Linked DNA regions of Oreochromis niloticus. The protein of the gene in region 1 purifies or fractionates together with the protein of each later gene. This does not show direct contact. Links are inferred from orthologs where the notes say so. Each region holds a gene or a part of one and is shown on either strand. Other genes may lie near its edges. The genes, in order: use1 and scfd1.

What was found.
Region 2: the proteins of use1 (region 1) and scfd1 purify together in Homo sapiens (affinity purification with mass spectrometry; 3 studies listed by BioGRID and IntAct, counting the BioPlex papers as one, with this or other methods). This does not show direct contact. The link is inferred for Oreochromis niloticus from reciprocal best matches to the Homo sapiens genes USE1 and SCFD1.

Annotation. Positions count from the first base shown.
Region 1 is NC_031986.2:44,590,744-44,601,101, forward strand, and holds the start of use1 (vesicle transport protein USE1), read left to right. Parts: upstream 1-6,286; 5' UTR 6,287-6,344; coding exon 6,345-6,443; intron 6,444-10,061; coding exon 10,062-10,111; intron 10,112-10,313; coding exon 10,314-10,358. Other genes in the region: unconventional myosin-IXb, read left to right, coding at 106-229, 401-451, 1,088-1,203, 1,301-1,440, 1,879-2,435.
Region 2 is NC_031983.2:3,779,413-3,789,541, forward strand, and holds the start of scfd1 (sec1 family domain-containing protein 1), read right to left. Parts: upstream 4,472-10,129; 5' UTR 4,354-4,471; coding exon 4,323-4,353; intron 3,155-4,322; coding exon 3,084-3,154; intron 2,489-3,083; coding exon 2,400-2,488; intron 200-2,399; coding exon 109-199; intron 1-108. Other genes in the region: g2e3 (G2/M phase-specific E3 ubiquitin-protein ligase), read right to left, coding at 8,994-9,292, 9,472-9,643, 9,884-9,923. UniProt on the Homo sapiens protein: Plays a role in SNARE-pin assembly and Golgi-to-ER retrograde transport via its interaction with COG4. Involved in vesicular transport between the endoplasmic reticulum and the Golgi.

The DNA.
Region 1 (10,358 bases):
CTCCCTTTTAACAGGAAGATCCAGGCTCAGCCGTCTAATCTTTAATGTCCAAAACCTCCTGAAGGCTGGAAGAAGTGTGGGTCCTGATGGCTCTTTTGTTTGCAGGTGTGTGGAGATGCTCATCAACGAGCAGATCCGGCGCTACAACGAGAAGATGGAGGAAATCGAGCAGCTGGAGTACGCCGAGGCTTTAGCCGTTAACCAGCTGAAGCTCAAGAGGCAGAACACGGTGAGGAAGAGAGCGCCGCTCGCCTCTGTCCGCGTCCTTGTCCATTTAGCAAAATTAAGTCGACACTGAGATGTTGGATGAAGGTCACATAATAAAGTCGACCCCACTGTCAGAATCTGATATCCTTAGCTTCCGTGCGTAACGTGTCCAATGTTCCTTGTCTCTCTTTAGCACTACTGGCGTTTACCGCTCAGGTTATCAGCTCCTTACAAAGGAGCGGCGGTATGTATCATCGATTTCTCCTGGTAGAGTCGACCTTGTAGTTGTAGTTTGTAGTGGTCTGCCATGTCGAGGCGCCTGTGCATGGCATGTAAGATGTGGGTCAAACTTTGGCTGTCGTGTGTGTGTTTGGGGGGTTTTTTTCTTTCCTTAATACTGTTTATTCTTCCATACTAACTGGGAATAGACTGCATGTTGCTGTTAACTGGTTTGTGCCCTGCTTGTGATGTGAGAGGACACCGTGGTTCTGGGTTTGAAGGACTGTTACTACCTTAAAACAGCTGTTTTGTGACTGATTTGTTCAACCTTTAGAGGAAAGAAAGCCACAGAGCTCTGAAGGTCATGTTATCTACAGAGCAATCACTCTGCAACACAAACACTTTGGTGAAAAGAGTAAAAGTGTGCATTCACTTTGATCTCTTTTAATACTCTCTGTTGCTGTAAGAATTCATATGCAGGTGCATGAAAACCTCACCATCACCCTGCCTTTCTCTCGACCTCACTAACACCTTTTGGTTCAGTTTCAGGTTTGGGTTAAAGTCATATACATGTGTGCTTTCCATTTCTCCTTTAGTGTTTGTTATAGTCTAGTGTGGTGTTTTCAGTTTGGGTGAAGGTGTGATCCTCTGTCTTGTGCAGATGCATGAGAAGGTCAGCACTGATCTGAGCGTGGTCCCCGAGAACGAGCCTCTGGATTCGGACACGGAGGCCGAGAAGAACCTGATGGAACGTATCAAGTCCATCAAGCAGGAGAAGTAAGATCGCTCTCTTAGCACTTTTCAGTTCCTCATTTCTGCTGTCTTCATTGTCCAGTTCCTAATGCATGTGATTTCCTCTTCATCTCACCTTCAGAGAGGATCTCGCCTATCGCCTGCCAGAGATGGAGCAGCCTGGTTCAGACCAGGAGAATTTGGACTCCGAAGCCTCGCTGAGCTCTGAGAGCCTCTTGGACGAGCAGCAGCGCTCCTCTGCTCACAGCTCAGAGCCTGAAGGTCAGTAGTAAGGTACAGTCTGGACTTCCTACCTGTTTCTGTCACCTGCGGGTTTCTGACCAGACCACGGGGCCTGCTGGGCGGGGCCCTTCCTGTCTTTTGTGGCACAGGTCTGGACCAGTGATGGTGAAGGTGGGCGGTGACGTCTGCTCTGTCGGAGGTCGGAGGAACGGCAACCGTGTTTTTGTGTGTTTGTGTGCATGTAAATGCATGTGTGGCACGGCTGCATGCTCAAATTTCACCCAAAGTTGATTTGCTGAACATTTGCCGTCCACATCAGATCAGATGCTTGTAATTGTAACTCACTGGGTGTATTTTTTGATTTTTTTCTTGCAAATCATGGTTGCATGATCTTCCATTTGCCTTTTCCCCTTTCACACTGCTGTGAGCCTCTTGGTTAAATATTCCTCATTCTTCCTCTATCCTCTTCTCTTCCAGGACGAGGTGCTCATCAGCTGAGGAGATCCAGACCGCTTTGTCTTCCCAAACCTTCAGATCTGACCCAGAGGCCGAAAGTCCCCGGCGGACGCATCTCTGTGTCAACCCTCACCCCTGCTAGCTCCACCTCTTCTTTGGCCAGCTGCACTTCTTCAACTTCTGAAACCTCCAACGCCTCCTTCAGGCATCCGCTTCAGCGTCGCAACCCCATCATCCCAAACACAGTTAAACTCCCGCAGGGAGTCTGCTCCCAGGCGGCAACCTCGAGTCCGCCTCACTCTCACGCTCCTCCTGGAAGCCGAGCGCCCGCCTTCTCGGTCAAGAGACGAGAGCAGCCCGGCCGCCGTAAAGACAGCACCCAGTCCCTTTACCTCGACGGCTCAGAGTGCGACTTGGTGCTGCGTTTTTCTTCCTGTCCTCCTTCAGCCGCCTCTTCCTCTTCTTCCATCTCCACGGCTGCGCCCACTCCTCAGCTCCAGCACAGCGGCACGAAAGTCCCAAATGTCCACAGACGGTTTTCTGACCCAGACATCCCGTATGTGGATGATGAAGTCTGAGCAGGGAGGAGCACAAACGACTGGAACGGCGAAGAGGATTAAGGGCGGCGACCCGCAAGCAGACAAACGAAACGAATTCAAACGCTCTCAGATTCGACGCAGGCGGCAGCAGAGCGCTCGGAGAGGCTGGAACTTGATGTGTGTATGAAAGGAAAGGAGAGACGCGACGACACGCGCAGCTGCTGCGGCTCCACATGCATGAACCCAGCTCACACAAACTGCAGCTGCTGCTGTCTGAGGGAACTCGATCAGCCAATGCAAACGTGTCGTTAGTAAAAAGGACTGGACCACATGTTGCCAAGCACCTTTTCAATCTTTTTAATATATTGTCCTCACTGTTGATTGCTTCAGTTGGACCAGAGGCAGTTTCCTCCCGTAGCCTCATAATGATTTTTTTTTTTTTAAATTTGTGCTAATTCAAGAAAATATTGCAGGTTTCAGTCGCACTTTTCATTTCTTAGTTCTCCCAGTGAGTGAAACTCGCTCGCTGAAACATTAGCTAGTGCCTTGATGTTGTACATTGACTTGATAAAGAAGCTCATTCTCATGTCACGATGATGGAACGGTGCTCGTAGAGGGAGGGATGTGTTTGTTGTGGAAAACAAGGACCTAAACCTGCACATTGTGACTGTTGCACACACACAAAAACAAACAGCTTTTTCTGTTCACCTTCATGTTTTACCCGCCGCACAACACACACCAGATAGGAAATCATTGCATTCATGCAGCAAAGGGAACGGGAGCAGCACACGCCACTTTCTCCACAGAAACGACAAAAAACCCACACAAACCCAGCCGTGATCCAAGAGCGGTGGCACCACGTGTCCTTGAACTTCCCCTCCTCTAAAATCACTCAGTCCCATTATTAGAAAAGTGCTGAAGCACAGCTCCGGCCAACTTTGTATGAAATGTAATACTAATGTTCCTCTCTGACTGCTGACGATGATGATGATGATGTATGATGATGTTGGTTTGTCTGGATTATGAGGAAGATGTTCTGATGTGTAACAGAGTGCATGGTGACTTTGACTGAATGAGCTGTAATGTTTATTAGTAGTAACATGAAAATACAGTACATGATGCTTGTAACGTCCGCTGCTGTGTGTTTCCATCACGCACAATTAGAACGTTTTTCTTTTACCCTGGAAACAGACGATGGTGATAAACAAGGGTTATTAAAATAAAACTGTAGGACGTTTATAAACTCTCCAGGAGTTAGTCTGCTCCAAATTAGGTTCATAGGTTGACTTGGACCTTCAGCACAGACAAAATGTAGTAACATGAAACTAGAAATACTGCACCTAAATTCAAAATTCATTCACCATAGACTCCCTTCATTGCATTAGATTAGGTACATGTTGCTAGTACTGGGTACAGACCACCTGGTGTGGTCTCCTGCTGGTGTAGCTCATCTGCTTCAGGGTTTAACATGTTCAGAGATGATCTTCTGCACTCCTATAAGCTCCAAGCTGTCAGGCCAGCCTCTGAACTTTAGCATCAAACTGCCCCTCGCTGGATATTTGCTCTTATTTGGATCTTTATCTGTAAGCCCCAGAGATGGTTGTGTGGGACAATCCCAGCAGATCAGCAGTCTTTGAAATCCTCACACCAACAACCACTTAAATCCCCTTTCTTGCTCATTTTGATGCTCATTTTGAACTTCAGCGGGTCATCTTGATTATATATTTAAATACACTGACTTGCTGCTGTGTGATTGGCTGATTAGATATTTGCATTAACCACTAGGTGAACAGGTGTACCTAATAAAGTGGCCGGAGTGTGTATGTTTAACATTTTGCTTTAAGATGGCTAAAACTCCCAGAGGTGGGTATAATTTTAGTCTTTCAGAGTCGTCCCTGCATTAAACAGTCATTAAAACTCGGGTCAGGTCTTCTTAAATGAGCCGCTTCTTTGTCGCAGTAAACTGCAGCCGTCTGCACAGACCTCACTGTTTTTGATTTTGTGGGTGTTTTGTGTGGAGTGGAATTGATGCACCTTTAGCACACAAAGGCTCCACAGTTCAGGATCAGCTGCCACAATGCAAGATCTGTTTTTCAAGTGATGTCATACGAGTTATTTCTTCAGACTTCATAAAGCTGCACCAGAGCCGCACACAGGAAATTACACCAACATGAGTTTTAACAGTGTCACGCAATGCGCCCCTTGAAGTGGTTACATTTATTTTTACCATTTTTACGCCCTGAACTGCGGTCAGCATTTTCCTTCCTGGTCGTGGGTGATTTATCAGCCTTGCACACCATCCACTGTTAAGCAAATTAAAGTTGATGTAGTTTCACTTACCTCCATGCAGGTTGGTATACGTGAGTATTGATAGATGATTGTTTTCCTCTCTGCACCACCCTCACAGCTGGGCATGTTCAGGTTGAAGGGCGCTGCAGTGGTAGTTATGTGAGGTCTTTATAATTATTTGTTAATCTAGTTCAAAGTGTTTATCCCACCTAACAGGTGCAAACAAAGTCCTGAAGCGATCAAGGCCTGAACAGACTGGGACTATTTTTTTGACATGAAGACTAAAATTGCTGCTCTGAGGATTTGAACGGGCTGTGTCATGTGACCTGCCGGACTGCAGACAGACCACCTTCTTGAACTTTATCCACAGGAATCCACAGATGCCTCATATCTGGAAAACGCCTTTAGCAGCTCCAACTTCAGCCCACTGGTGGTGCAGAAGTGTCTGAGCCACAGATAAGAACCTTGGTGAGAAGATTCAGACAACTGTCTCCAATCTGTGCTCCACACTGCAAAAATAGCTATGATTCTAGAAGCTGTAGATGATAGGCATAAGAAAAGGTCTAAACACTGAGTGCCCTGACTCATCTTTGCTGCGCCACTAAATAAAGTGATGCAGACAGTGTACTGAATGGCCTATTATACTTTACGCACTGTAGTATAGTGATAAGCACAACATGACTTTATATCAAGTGCTAATCTTTCATTCCATCTGTTTACATGTAAGGCAGTTTGAGTGTCATAGATACCGTACAGCAAAATATAACCCATGTTTTATAAAACAAAACATAATCAGTCAATATAGGCATACATGGATACTTGATAAACTATCAGGCCACCACCCAGTGCAATGTTTATTCCACAATTACCCTAAATTAACAGTACTGAAAATATCAAACTCATTTTCTATGTTTCTGTAACGGCTGAGCCACCAGTGTGTCCAAGCCTGACACTCAAAAATGATATTTTTCATTTTATTAATGTTATCTTTTACAAAAAAGCTGAAAAACAGCAAACCACATCATTATTATCATCATTATTATTATTATTATTATTATTATTATTATTATTATTGTTTAATGGCATTGCTGAAAAGAAAAAATCGTTGTTTTTTTTTGTTGAACGTTGTGCTTGACTCTCAGAGAAGTCCAGTATGGCGCCTCAAATTGGGGTATAAAAAAGTGAATTTAGTTTTTTATTTGCCCAATAAATAAAATTTTAAAAACAATATAACTTTTAGTTTTACCCAAATACATAAAATGGTTATGTTTGAGTGTTTTTATGGCAGTATTTTTTTAAGAACTGTATATAAACACATACAAAACATACATAAATAAAAAAAGTACTACATACAGACATGTTGTGGTTTTCGTGCCAGAATGGTGTGTTTTATATTTATTTTATTTTATTTCTCTCGAATAGAGAGAAAGAGATTAAGATAAAACTTTGGGGTCTAACGAGATCTTATTGATAACAACAACAACAATAATAATAATAACAATAATAATAATAATAATAATAATAATGAGTCTAGCTTTTTAAATTGAAATTTTCAATGACGACGTAAAAAAAAAGAGGCGGGCGACGCTCCGCCCATAACGTCTGCGCCGCTCTGCTTGACGTCAAACTGCTGCGCCGCTGTGCGGCTTCAAACCAAACATGGCTTCCCGACTAGAAATCAATTTCATCAGGTTATTGTCTCGCTGTGAGTCTTTGGCGTCGGAGAAACGGGGAGAGACGGAGTGGAGGCTTGAAAAGGTAACCCGGCACGGCTCGGAGCGGCTGTAACGACCATGTCGTGATGACGTTAGCCTGACTGTTGTTGTTGTGAGCCGCTGTTAGCCACGTCGTCACCTAAACCTTTCTGTTTGGTGTCGGGAGGCACATTTAAGCTGTTCACCCCTCGCGCACAGGTTCAATCATAGCCGAGATGTCACCGTAGCGACACACGGCGAGTCTGCGCAGTCTGCTACTCCAGATTTGCTGTATTTTAGTGTTTAATCTCGTTTCTGAAGCTTTCCTTTCACCTATGTTCCTCGCAGAAGATCCTCCGTATGTTCATATCTTTAACAGTAACTTTATTTATTTATAGCATTTTTTTAAAAAACGATCGGCTGCGAATCAGCTACAACCCGAGTTTTCCTCCAGCCGTCCAACCTCTGCTGCCTTATAGAAAGTTAAGTCAGGAGCTGCAGTCAGGTCATGTGCACCAGCGGGGTGTGATGCAGCCTCTAAATTACATCGCGATATTTTAGAGAAATATTTGCGATAATACTTATTATGCTATGAAAAATAGTGCGCATCATGTTGGGTGAAGGACATCCATCCACCCATCCTTTCTTCTTTTCCAGTGAGCTGCTGACCTTAAAGTGTGGCTTTTATTAAGCAGCAGTGTTGTAGTGCAGCAGCAGTGACACAGCAAAAGTCAAATGTAAGCACACAAGTACTCCAGGTAGTCCCAGAAAGTTGTTTCTGTTCATCTGGGCATTTTGTTTTCAGTGGGAGAAACAATTCATCACTCACCTGTGACTTCTTCCTCATTCTCACCTCGCTGCAGTTTTCCCCAGCCCTTTAAACATTTGCATATCATCCAAAACCAGCACCAGCCAAGTTTCATGATCTTTAATATACTATTGTCATAATCATTGATGGTGGGCGCGAGAACCATTCAGAGGTCACAGGGGAATGGTAGGTGAAAGGTGAAAGACGTACTCTTAGGCCCCCTCCTCGGTTCAGAGATGGTCTTTCCTTTTTCACATAAATGGCCTCCTTTACTCCTTACTCCTTTGAAAGCCGCAGAGTTGCAGTGAAATACTCTGGGTCGAGTTTTCTGTGGAAATTTAGTTTTTGTTAAACTAAAGTAACTTAAACTTGTAATTCTTAAGGAGGGCACATCCTGGCCAGGTGAGGTGTGTCACAGGGCTTACATGGAGAGACAGGTAACCACTCACACCCACACTGTTGATCTGTGGAACCAGCACACCCTAGACAGGGAGTCTGGATCGACTCCCTGTATAACTAATCTGATCTCTGAGTCTTAACCAGTAGGCAGTAGAGATCGTAGAGCCGATGGGTGAGGGGACTGGCCCGATTTAGAATCACCAGTTAACCACAGATGCATGTCTTTGTGCTGTGTAAACTCCACACAGAAAGGCCCCACACTGGATTCGAACCCAAGACACCGGCTCCTAGCATCTCCTCCTTCGTAGTGTTTGTGCCTCTAGTGGTGAAACATGTTTGTTGTTGCCACCTTCATCAGGAACAGCTCTCGTTCATATTTTGCAGAGCAGTGAAGTTGTTGAGTAGCTCCCTTATTAAGTCCTCACACTGCTCTCGTACTCAGATATGCTTGGGCGGGGCCTCAAATCAAAACAAGTAGTTGAACATTTTACCTCGATTAACATTAACAAAGGAGTTTCCTTTATTTACTTGTTCTTGCCCCCATAGTTTGCTGACAGGGTTTGACCTGTAAATGTGCTCAGCGGTTAAAGCTGCGATATTGTGATCGCGCTCCAGCTGTTGAAACAGATTGGTGGTCTTACCTTTGGACACTGAAACTGTGTTGAGGTCTTTTTACATCATGCTTCATGTCATGGAGGCACGTAACTGCGTGAACTCTCATTGGGTGAAATGTTAACAGAATTTAAATTTAAAACAAAAAAAATGACATGGACCAGATCACATCAGTTGGGGGTTCTGAACATCGGTTTTGATTTATTTTCAATTAATTACGCGGCTTGTGTTGTTTTGCTGGGAAACATAAATGCATAGAGTTGCTATATGAGACTTTTATAACGTAAAGATTTGTACTGCTGTTTTCATGGACGATGTGATTGTGGTTGTTCGGTGAAGGGAAATTACTGCTAACTTTTGTTACTAAAACTTTGACCACTAGGGGGCAGCACTACTAACAGGTTTCTTTTTAGTAACCGCTCCTCATGAGATCTCCTCTTTTGCCAGGCTGTCGTTTAAAATACAGACGTGCCTGTTTTTAAATAAAGGTTACAGTGACACACTGCACCCTCTTGTGGTGCAAAGTGGTATTACAACAAAGTGCAGCTTTTATCTTTGACACAGCACACATGTGTTTGGGTTAAATTCAGAGCAGTTGCCTGTTTAAATTCCACTGAAAGCTTTAATTTAGTTTATGAGGTTTAAATAGTGTGAATGTGTGTGTGAATGGGTGGATGTCTGGATATGTAAAGCGCTTTGGGGTCCTTAGGGACTAGAAAGCGCTATATAAATACAGGCCATTTACCATTTACCATTTTAAACCCAAGAATTAACAATAAGCAGCTTTAAAGGAACAGTAGCTGATTTAAATGTGTGACCTGCAGCTTTAACGCAAACGAGTAACAACAGGCGTCACCAGGCCACTTGGGACTGAATAAATCCAAACGCCTCTTCTCGGTGACCTCGTGTCACGGTGTACCGAGTGGCTCCCTACAGCTGAGCAGTGAAGACCCTTTAATCTGAACCAGCAGGATAAACCAATCAGCTGCTTGATTTTTACTTTTAGAGTAGATGAAAGGTTCGAGTAACTAAAGTAACAACAGTCAGTACGACCCTGACAGCTGTCAAACACTTTCTTCTTGCACTGCTTCCTCCTTATTACATTTATCATTAGACCACATTTACACGTGGCCTGATGTGGTGAGAGGTCTGTCGGAGGCTGACTTCTTTCTCTCAGTGAACCGACTCGCTGTTACAGCAGACGTGCTGTGAAGTTAAGTAAACTGACTTAAGTTTTATATCACCAAATCAACACTTTGACTCATCCGTGCCAGCATGGCTATAAACTGCAGCTTGACTGGTTGGTGGAGATCAGCGGCCACTGGGCGTTGGTTGGAGTTTGAAATACGGTGCATTTACATATTTAGTGCTTGCCGTGACTTATTTTCTAACACAGCTGCAAACTGAAGATGTGTTCCAGCCTGGTGTTAGTGTAACCTCAAAGATGCTTTGCTGCAAACAGGAACTATTAAAGATATATTTAAGGATCCTCCACTTGATGCTGTTTACTGGCACCGAGTCATTTGCTTTTCTCAGGAACCGTCTCTGCAGGGTCACAGCTGTTTTGCATCTTAGCCTTTCCGCATTATCACTGTGTGTGTGTCGGTGAAGACTACACTGTTCACCTGCAGCAGCTTCTGTGTCCTGTTTGGGTTTGTGACCCACCCTCTGTAAGAGACTCAGCCTACTTTTACAAGAAACCTCGTCAGTTAGACTCTGTTATTTGGCCCAGTGTAGTCCATGATATATGGATATTTATTTTTTTAAATGTATTAATATTTGTTACTTTGAAATAAAGATTTGATTGATGAGATAAATGAGAGCATGTGAGCAGCATCACTGTTTCTGTTTGGTCTCCTCCAGTATGTGGGCGCCCTGGAAGAGATGCTGGTGGCTCTGAGGAAAAGCCTGAGGTAACACCACCCTCCACTTTTATGTCTCCATGTTTTCTTTTTTTGCCTGAAAAGGTACATATATTATTAAGAACCTATTTTAAATATGTTTGGTTGTAACAGGTCACATCAGGCTTACGTGTTATGAGCACAGAGGTTTGATCTGCTGGTTTCAGCTTAATAACACAAAGTTTTGTCAGTAAGCGGTTGTGTGTTCTTCCAGCAAACCAACACCAGAGGTCCTGGCTGAATACACCAGAAAAGTCAA
Region 2 (10,129 bases), on another chromosome or scaffold:
TTTAGTGTCTGCTACTTCTGAGAGGAACTCTTCTGTAATTCCCAGCGTAGATAAACACATTCAGGCAAAGAACTGAGTCCAGCTTAATGAGTTACTGTGTGAGATCACCTGACAAATCCTGTCAATATTCTCCTCTGTGGGCATGACGAAATAAATAGCAGGAACATCTGGAATAGGATCTCTGTCTGAATGAAGCAGCCTGAACACACAAACACACACACACACACACGCACAATAGCACTTTTTTCTTTTTTTGTTAAAATAAACAACATGCAACAAGAATAAGAAACCAAAAATCACTGAGACCTCACTAACTGCAAAATAAAACAGAAGTAAAACTTGGGAGACAGCTGCCCCATAATCAAGTGCTACAATGTTGTGCAGAACTCTCGAGCCGACCCTTATTTCTTTATATTTTGCTAGGAAAATGAAAAAGGTGTAGCAATTATCATTGGCATTTTCACAGATTCAACTGAAGAAACGGGAACAAATTATGTACACTTGCAACAAACCAATCTTAAGATGGGGGTAGAGCTGAGCGATAGAACGATAACGATATGTATTGCGAAATAACTTTTTCTCGATAGAAAAATTAAACTATTGCGATAGGCCTCATCTCTCTTGTCCTCTTAAAAAAAAAAAAAAGAACAGCCAATCAAAATTAAGTAGCGCAGAGCCGAACCAATCACAGCTGCAGCGTCACGTCACGTGACTTGTTACGTACAGCACAAGTGCCAAGGCGCACATGTGTATTTGTTTGGGAAGCAGCCAGCCGGGCTGCCCAGGTAATGGAGGAAATGAGTGCGCCGATTAGAGAAAAATCAACTGAGAGCGTGACCGAAGGTTACCAAAGAAAAAACCGATGATGGTTCCAATGCCGGAGAGCTTGTCGAACGGAAGGGCCACAGACGTTCCGTAGTGTGAAGGTATTTCGGCTATTTCAAGTCTGACAAAAAACAGAGTAGCGCGCACTGTAAATTGTGCTGAAAGCAAGTCTGGAAATACAATAAACCGGTGCATGCTCAGTCTCTGACTGAAAGCGCTAATTCGTCATTCGGCTTTTGTCAGACTAAAATAACTGTTAAAACTGTTTGAAAAGCTAAGCTATACAACAAGGAGAGATTGAGAATTTCCTTTTAGTTCTCAGTTTATTTGATATTGACAAAAGTTAGTCAATTTTGTCTGTTCTTCTGTAAAACAAACTAAGATTTATTTTTAGAATTAAAATTTTGTTTCTAAGTGGAATTGACAATTTAGTAGTCTGTTTTGTTTGTTCTATTTTGAAACTTAAATGCTTTAGCGGCTGCCTTTTGTGTAGTTTGCAATATTTGCCTTTATTTATCTGAAACTGAAGTCTCATGTTCCTTAAGTACATCTACCCTGTTGAACTTATTATGGGAAATAAATATTTAAATCAAAACAAGCTGCTGATTATTTCACATTTTACTTGTGAGCAATGGCACATTTAAATCTTACAAATATAGTTATTTGGCTTATATCGTGATATATATCGTTATCGCCTGAAATGAAAAAAACATATCGTGATATGAAAAAATCTTATATCGCCCAGCTCTAGATGGGGGCTTACAATTGAAATTTGTTTCTTTGCTAAGTTTTTTGCTATATGTAGACGAACCAATGGTTTGTCTACATATGGTGAGTTTTGTGCCTTTTTTGTGACGCTATGATTCATAGATCAGTGTTAATGCTAAGGTACACGGACTGGATGAAAACTGAGCGACAAAGCAGCCACTGTCCATAGATAATCTTTGAAAGACCCTCAGAAAGCTTGAAGAAGTATTGCTCAAGAAAATCTTGAAAATTACAAGAAAATCTTGCTCCTTTAAAGTATGGAGAAATTAGTTGTGTCTCATGACTTTTGCTCTATATAACTACTCAAAACACTCCTGCAGGACCATCATCATATGGTCATTTGCAGCTGCAGTGCTGTAAACTGATCACAGAGACACACCATCAATCACACATTCACAAAAAAAACTCAATCAACATGATCATGTAAAGGCTGTTTTTTTTTCCTATGTCCTCAAATTTGTATTTATTTACTGTATTTAGGCTCCCATTTCACTTTTATTCTATGTATTAATTTATTCATATTTTGAATCTATCTATTTATGAATTTCTATAATGATTATATATAACACAGCACAACTGATTTCAGAAAAAGTGTGTGAAAGTTTTGGTGGCAAAACCACAGCATATTTAAACTGAGGTAAACAGATGAGGTGACCCTCCTGTGCCTTCTCTGAGAGCAGCATGTGACCAGTTGTCTTTGTGGTGATTACTGATAATGATTGTTATTTTTGATTATGTGATACTTTGTTTTGCTGTTGTCTTAAAACAGCTCTGTGTGTGTGTGTGTGTGTGTGTGTGTGTCCTACAGATGCAGAGTGATGCCCATGTCTCGGAGCTCTTTGACAGACAGCAGTGGGGAGATGATGTCTTGGCCAAACCGGTCATATATTAACACCTGCAGAAAAGGCAGAGATCAAAAGACTTTTTCTGACCCAGGCAGAAATCACAAATACAAAGCCCTACTGATAACCACACAACACTTATTTATGTGACTGCTTTCACTGTGTGAAAAGTCTGGCATATGAAAGGTGTGATTGCTAGTGGAATGCAGTTCTATGGGTGAAATACTGATACATACGTACACTGATTAACAGCATGAAAGAATGAGTTGGGGATGTGGGCTGGCACTGACATCAGCTGATTTGCCAGCATTGTGGCTTAGGTTGACTACATGGCCTATGTGAACTATAGAATTATTATGTATTTATTTATTAAACTTTGAGTTCACGTTGAAAAGCATGACATTCTTCATTACACAGTAAGCATGTATGAACTGTCCCTTCACCTCCTCTTAGAAACACAGGATGCGGATTTTCAGAGGCTGAGTTAATCCTAAATAAGATTTAACACACAATGCAGCACACTGCATTTTCTGAACACACTGAGCTTTTATGCACGGCGAGTATGAGTCTCAGTATTTAAGTCATGAGTTCAGGCTGGATTTTTTTCCTTGACACCTTTTGAGTTACTACACTGTTATAGTGACTTACCTTCCACACTGGCTCAGCTGCTGTGTTCTTCAGAGGAGGTGCATTGAAGTTCAACATTCGCTTCAAAGCGACTGCAGAAATGCATCACAGAAACTTTTATGTTAGGGGACACACAAACAGATCAGTATCCACATGGCTAATAAATACTGCTCCATTAATACTAGCTTAACTGAGAAGCAGGTGTTTCTATAATCAAATGGTTGTTTAAGACATCTCAACAAATACTGTTCTGAAATATGTCAAGGGTTTAACATGCTTTTTTCTATGGTGAAACGAGCCTGGGGAAATGACATGCCATATTACAAAAAACAGCCTAAAATCTTTGCATTTTAGGCTTTATACATCACATTTGTTTCTTAAAAATATCAATAATGACTATCTGCTATGATAATAATAATTGACTAACTGTTGCCCTTTTGACTAAGGACGAAATTCTGTAGATGTGATTTTGGTGTGTGAAAACATTTCTCTGAGCATTTCATAGACAAAATGTTTATTAACTTGAAACTAGACTACTGATGCAGTCCCCTGGGTCTGCAGTGAACAGCTAGCTTTATTTGTTGCCAGCTGACGATTTGATAATTCCACTAATCACTGCAGCTCTAGATCACACATTGATAAATCTGTTTATTCACTGACCAGACTGCCCACAAAAATATTCAATAAATGTACTAGAATAAAATGGATATGCAAGAATAAGACATCCACATTCTACTGTCCACCCAATATTTAATATTAATAAATAATATTAAACAGCAATACAACAATAAACTGATCCAAACAACAAAGCTTACTGAAACCATACGAGTATATTCACATAATGAAGAGAGGATTCATCCTGTGTATATGAAACTAGAAATAGCTTATGACTTTCTTCAGAGTTAGCAAGAGGCTAGCTATCCGTAGCTATTAGTACCGTAGTAGAGCTAGCAGCACTGATAGCTGACAGGACGACGGGTTAACTTTGGGTAAATAATTTAACAGTGTGGTTGACAAGTTAACGTGTCTGTAAATAAAGGAAAAAATGAACGAGTTCCGCTATCAATAGTGAAACAGGAACATTAATGAAGTAGCTCAGCCGGCTGTTAGTTTAGCACGTAGTTTAGTTTGTCAGCTATTTAAGAGGGGGAATGGTATCTCAGTCAGATTTCGGGTTGGTGGACCTCTCCACAGCCCGTCACCGCTGCTGTCTTTCGCCTGATATAATGTTAACGAAAGAAAGAAAACATTTTAACAAACCTGTCTGCTTCTCCCGGACAGACGCCGCCATATTTGATGTTGTTAGTTACGGAGTGACTGATGACGTGGCATCAGCTCGACGTCAGCTTACACGTCAGAGAAGAGTGTAAAGTGAAGAGGTCTCGCTCTGGTGCTGTTTAACAGAGAATACAAGAAAGAATGCAGATCATCAAAGTAAATTTCCGCTTTCCAGTAGACCAATAATGAATTTTTACTTTTATTATTATTATTATTATTATTATTATTATTATTATTGTTGTTGTTATTATTATTATTAAAATTAGTATTATTATTATTATTATGTGTGATAGACAGTGGCGTTTAGTCAGGACAAGCAAAGTATTGTTTACTTAGCCAAATGTAAAAACAAACATCAATTAAAACATACCAAAGTGAAAGCCATCTCTTTCATTTTATCTTAAATAGCATTCTGTCACAAAACGTCTTGCCTGTTTAAATCAATCATTTAAGCATTTAAGCCTTAAGCATCTTTAGTTGCAATATCAAACATTCTTCTGCATGACAGGGGCAGATCTAGAGAAATTTTCTTAGGCTGGTATGAGGGTGGCATGGAAATCGAATGTGGTGGCAAAATCAAAGCTTTTTACACACATGCAGGTGTTACATTCTGTAATTATATTATATATTTCTGTAATTATATTATGTATTTTAACAATTATATATTGTTAAAATACATCAAATGCAGTAAGTATACACGTTTCATATAAATATACTCTATAACGTTTTTATTTTCTTTAGCCCACATAATTAAACATTTCAGTTTCATAAAACATGCAAATTTGGATTTTATGTACTGTATAGCCTATATAATAAATAAGTATGTAGTCCAATAAGTATAAAATCTAGAAAGCTACACAACACAAGGTGGTTCATTTACAAACACAAGTCTAACTTAATTTCACATTCTTTTTTGTATTAAAAATAACCAAATTGTTACATGCTTAAATTTACACAAAATGCCTCAAATCTGCACTGTCATGAACACATTTTTCACCAACATCTCAAAAACTATTAAAGATAAAAGGTGAGTAAATGGAATAACCGCTATATTAAATAGTTTAAAGATAATGTTTGAAAAGCACATGTCAACTGAGACTGTAAAGAAACATAACCTTAAATAAATACCGCATTCTTGATGGATTTTAATTTAGTAATCACTGCCAGTATGATTGTTTGTGTTATTATGTATCTGTGTGTTAATGTGTTTTATCATCTGTTACAGGTTTCTTATTCATTTTCAGTTATATTAAATACATAAATTTAAAAAAAAAAATACAGTGAAACAATAAAACTGGCATTTCTGACAGTATTCATCTTTGCTGAGACTCCACATAACTGGACTGGACCACAGTCCATCTCTTATTGCCCATTCTTTCATGCCAATCTTTGTCTCCATTTTTATTTTTCCCCCTTTGAACAATTTAAAAGTCTGCTAAAATATATTCAGACATCATTTCCGAAGACCATTAGTAGTTCAATGTGTGGATCCAAAACATTCCAGTTCTGTTGATTGTCAGGGACAAAAACCCTTGTCCAAGGGTTTCAAGGGTACACTAAACAGTCTTTCAGTGCTCCCCTGTTTGCTTGCAATTTCTTGTCTGAAGTCTCCATTCAAACAGTTCAAACAACTAGGGCTTTTGTTGAGAGACAGTTTCCATCCAGTTCCATCACAATTTTTTGTAAAATCTCAAATGTGTACTTAAGCTTTGTCAGGTACCTCAAGACCAGTGAGTAAATGAGGCCAAACAAAATGGCGAATGCATTTGCAATGTTACTAGCACTTTAACACCTTCAATGATTATTCCAACATCTTTAAGGTCATCTGTAGGTTCTTCCCCTTCCTTCATAATGGTGAAGATTCCCAGGGTTATCTGCCACATTGCCTCCTGGTCAAGATTCCTTACATGTCAAACTCAGGACTTGGTGTGGGTCTCACCGCCATCACAGTATTTATTTGCAGACTGGTGAAAGAGTATATGAGTTGAAAAGTTTCATGGAGACTGCAGATTTAGTCACCTTTGTTCACTCGTGCCTGGTTTACTTAAGATGGACCTGGTCATACAAGTAGTTAGATGTAAGAATGATACACAAGTGCCATTTCTTTTCACCTTGTAATGCTTTTAAAGCCTTAAAACCATATTCCAAAGCACGATGCTGTGGGCAGCAATCAGCACTTCAATCAAAATAAACACCCTGCATGATTGCATATGAAAGCAATTAAAAAGTACCTGAAATTTCTAGAACGAACAGTAATTCACATTAGCAGCATAAGGACTCAGTTTGAATTTACAGACACTGTGTATTTAAAGCAATATGATATGATCAGAATGGATCAACGGCAGTTTTTTGAACTCTACAAACAGAAACTGCAGTTTGCCCTCAGCATGACAAACATTTAAACCAAATGAAAGTAAATTACCACATTTTGCACATCTAAACTATACCTTACATATTTATGAACTGCCTTGATAAACAAGCAAGTCTTAATCTGTGCGCTGCTTCACCCTCCACAGCAGTGCAAAACCGAATTTAATATAAGGACAGCCCAATTTATTTCATCACAAAATGCATTGCTGTTGTTGGGTTTGTTTTGAGAGAAAGCCAAATATAGTTCATTTTCTTAAACGTATTGAGCAGTTGAAGTTCAAGTGAAAAAAAAAAAATGCTGCCATGTCACAAAGAGCACCACAACCAGACAGTAAATGCTTTTTATTATGTGTGATAAACAGGACACTAAGGTCAGAAGTTGCAGGAAAGCCACAGTTCTCCTTATTTGGCTGAGCTCCAGCACTTTGGCTAACGTTTCTTCTTCTGCAGCTTTCTGGGCATCTTATTTAAATAATAATGAGCTTTTTTTTTTAAGCTATAGGCCAAAATTATGAATGAAAATGAAATGACAATGTAGTTTCAATTTAATGAGTGTAAAATTTTGTACATTTCTACTTACTTCTACAAGTCCTGTTGTAAAGTTACAGCAGTGCAAAATATGCCACACTGACAAATGTATTCAGTTTCTCATACAGAAATGATATGTTAAATGTTATGCTTGATCCTAATCTGCCGCCAACTCTGTTTACATTGCTGGTTTAATAGCTGAACAAAACACAGATTAAAAAAAATCTGCTTATCACTGAGAATATTAAATCAGTAAATTTCATTTCATTTCCTAAACAACATTTAATGTCAACACATAGCGTGATAATGTAATATAATGATTACAGAGGTTTTTTTTTAATCTTTATATCTGAGAAAATGAACAAAGTACAAGGAAAGCAAGGACAGGTCATTAAAAGAGGTTTTGAAAAATATGTAAAGTATGACTGAACTAAAAGTCAAGGTTATAAAATCAGCACCGTACCACAAAAGATGTTGAGATTACATAATATAAAGCAATGACGGTTGAAGACCTTTTAATGCTAAATGGATTCCAAGGACAATCCCAAGATGTCGGACTACGTTTTGGCCATCAATGTTTTCCGTCTCTAAAATGCAACCCCCTTCCCCCAAAATCTCCCCACACCTCCCACATCCAGAAAAACAAAACATGAGGCAGGATTAATTATTAGGCATCAACAAACAATATGTACAAAATCCTCAATCACCATAAGTATAAATGTATTTAAGATATCAACACATACTGCGATACACTCAAAAGAGAGACAAGCTCTATGGAGAGAAAAACATTAAAAATGAACTGAAGCCTATTTGGTCAAATGTGTTAATGTAAAAGAAATGTAGATTAAAAAAACAAAACAACAACAATAATGCACCACTCTCATGACTCAGAATGTGTTTGCAAGGTTGTAATAACAGAGATAAGATAGTAGCTTCACTTCAGGTAACTACAGCCTTCAAGAAGTGTTTTAATATTGAAGTCTAGATTTTTCCAAAGGACAAAATTTCAATGTACCCAAACACCTGTCGCTGACAGCTTCAAGTCAGGACTGATCCACGGATGCTGCCGTCAAGATCAAACTATTTGTGAGGTGTTTAACGGCTTGCATCCTCAGCAGGAACCTTTGAGCTTGGTGCAGAGCGCCATAAGAAGGAAAAGGTTTGTGGTTTCAATTCATATCCCGTGCATGGATAAGCAGCTAAGTAAATAGATAAAGGGATGGATATTTGCATCTAGATTTACGTATTCAAAAGAACATACAGAACATTCTTTCTTCTTTATCAGCCAACTTTGAGAAGCCTATTGACAGGAATCGCCTAGTGCTTGTGAGTTTGCACTCTTCCGAGCTTGTGAAGGCATGCTGTGCTAGCATTCTACTAAAGAATATTATACATATATTAGAATAAACAAGAGTATTACGTAACACTGTCGGTCCTCTAGGTATACAACACCAGCTAACACAGTATAAATGATATAGAAAACACTAAGGGTTACACATTAATACCATGTCATGGTATCTGTAACCAATACCACTCAACCAGCTACGATACTGAAAGTTTTTCTTGTTCAAGCAAATAGTGATTTCTTTAACAAAACATCAAAAAACCTTGATCATTATGTTTTAAATGCGTACATTACCCAAATTTCTCTCCATCAATCACAAAGAACCCCATTAGAAAAAAACAAAAAACAATCAGAGTTTATCTTCAAACACAGATCCCAAACCAGTCCAGAGCCAACCCCCACCTCCTTCTTTAACCATCTGTGGGGAGAAGGTGCACATGGTGGCTGATGGCCTGCTCCATGGAGCTTTTAAAAGCCTGGTAGGAGGAAGTGACGGGTAGGAGGAGGTGTTTTGACACAGGCTCACTCTGTGGGAAGAGTCCCTCATCCCTCCAGTCCACACCTCTCCCTTCTTTGAATCCTAATAGGGAGGGCGCGAGAGGATGGAGGAAGGAGATGGAGGGAGAAGAGAGGGCACTGACAGCTGGTAGCTTGGCACTTCCTGTGGCAAAGTGAAGGAGGTCCTGAAGGGAGATGGAGCTCCTTCCAACTGAGGAAAGAAGAGAGTGAGTATAAACATTTTAGAGCATAAATATTATCATCATCATCATTTCTGTGGCACACTTTGGGAAAACGTATCAACACAGAAAGATGAACCCATGACCACTTTTATCCATCCCAATGCAAAATTTTTTATTTATAATAATAAAAACAGGATTAACATTCCACCTTCACACTCAAGCAGGAAGTGCCTCCAGAAGGTGACAACGGGCGTCTCTCGGTTCAATTTTTCCTCCTGCTCAGAGAAGTTGATGGTGAAGAGCTGACCCATTGTCTGAGCTGTGAGATGATCACCAGCTTCACAGAAAATTCCACAGAAGACAGATGGGAAGAGCTGAACCTGATCATAGTACAGTGTAATTAGTGTTTTTAGCGTCACTTTTCTTCTGAACTTCTGAATACTTTATCTTGATGTTTAATAACATTAATTGCTGCCTTTTATATTAATCAGTCCAGTTTAAGTCACTTATTTTTTTTCTCCATCAAATATTCCCATTTGTGTTAACAGGGTTACAAACAGCTTTGAGACATTTTTGAACTGATTTAGAAAAGGGCAAATTTCTTTTCAAACTTCAGTCACCTGATCAAAAACACCCAAAGTCTGTAGACCCTCCCGAAACCTGAGGATGAAAATAAGCAAAGTAAACACTGAAAATGCAAGAAAGACCAAGGAAAACAGGAGAGTTATGAACACAATCAATACAATGGAAAAAGCATATCTTAAAAAATACAAAATAAGACACCTAGAGAAGATCAGCAAGTCCTGTTATAAGGAAGTGTTGTTTAATTTGGTTTCTTTTACTATTAGGACTACAATTAGTAACTA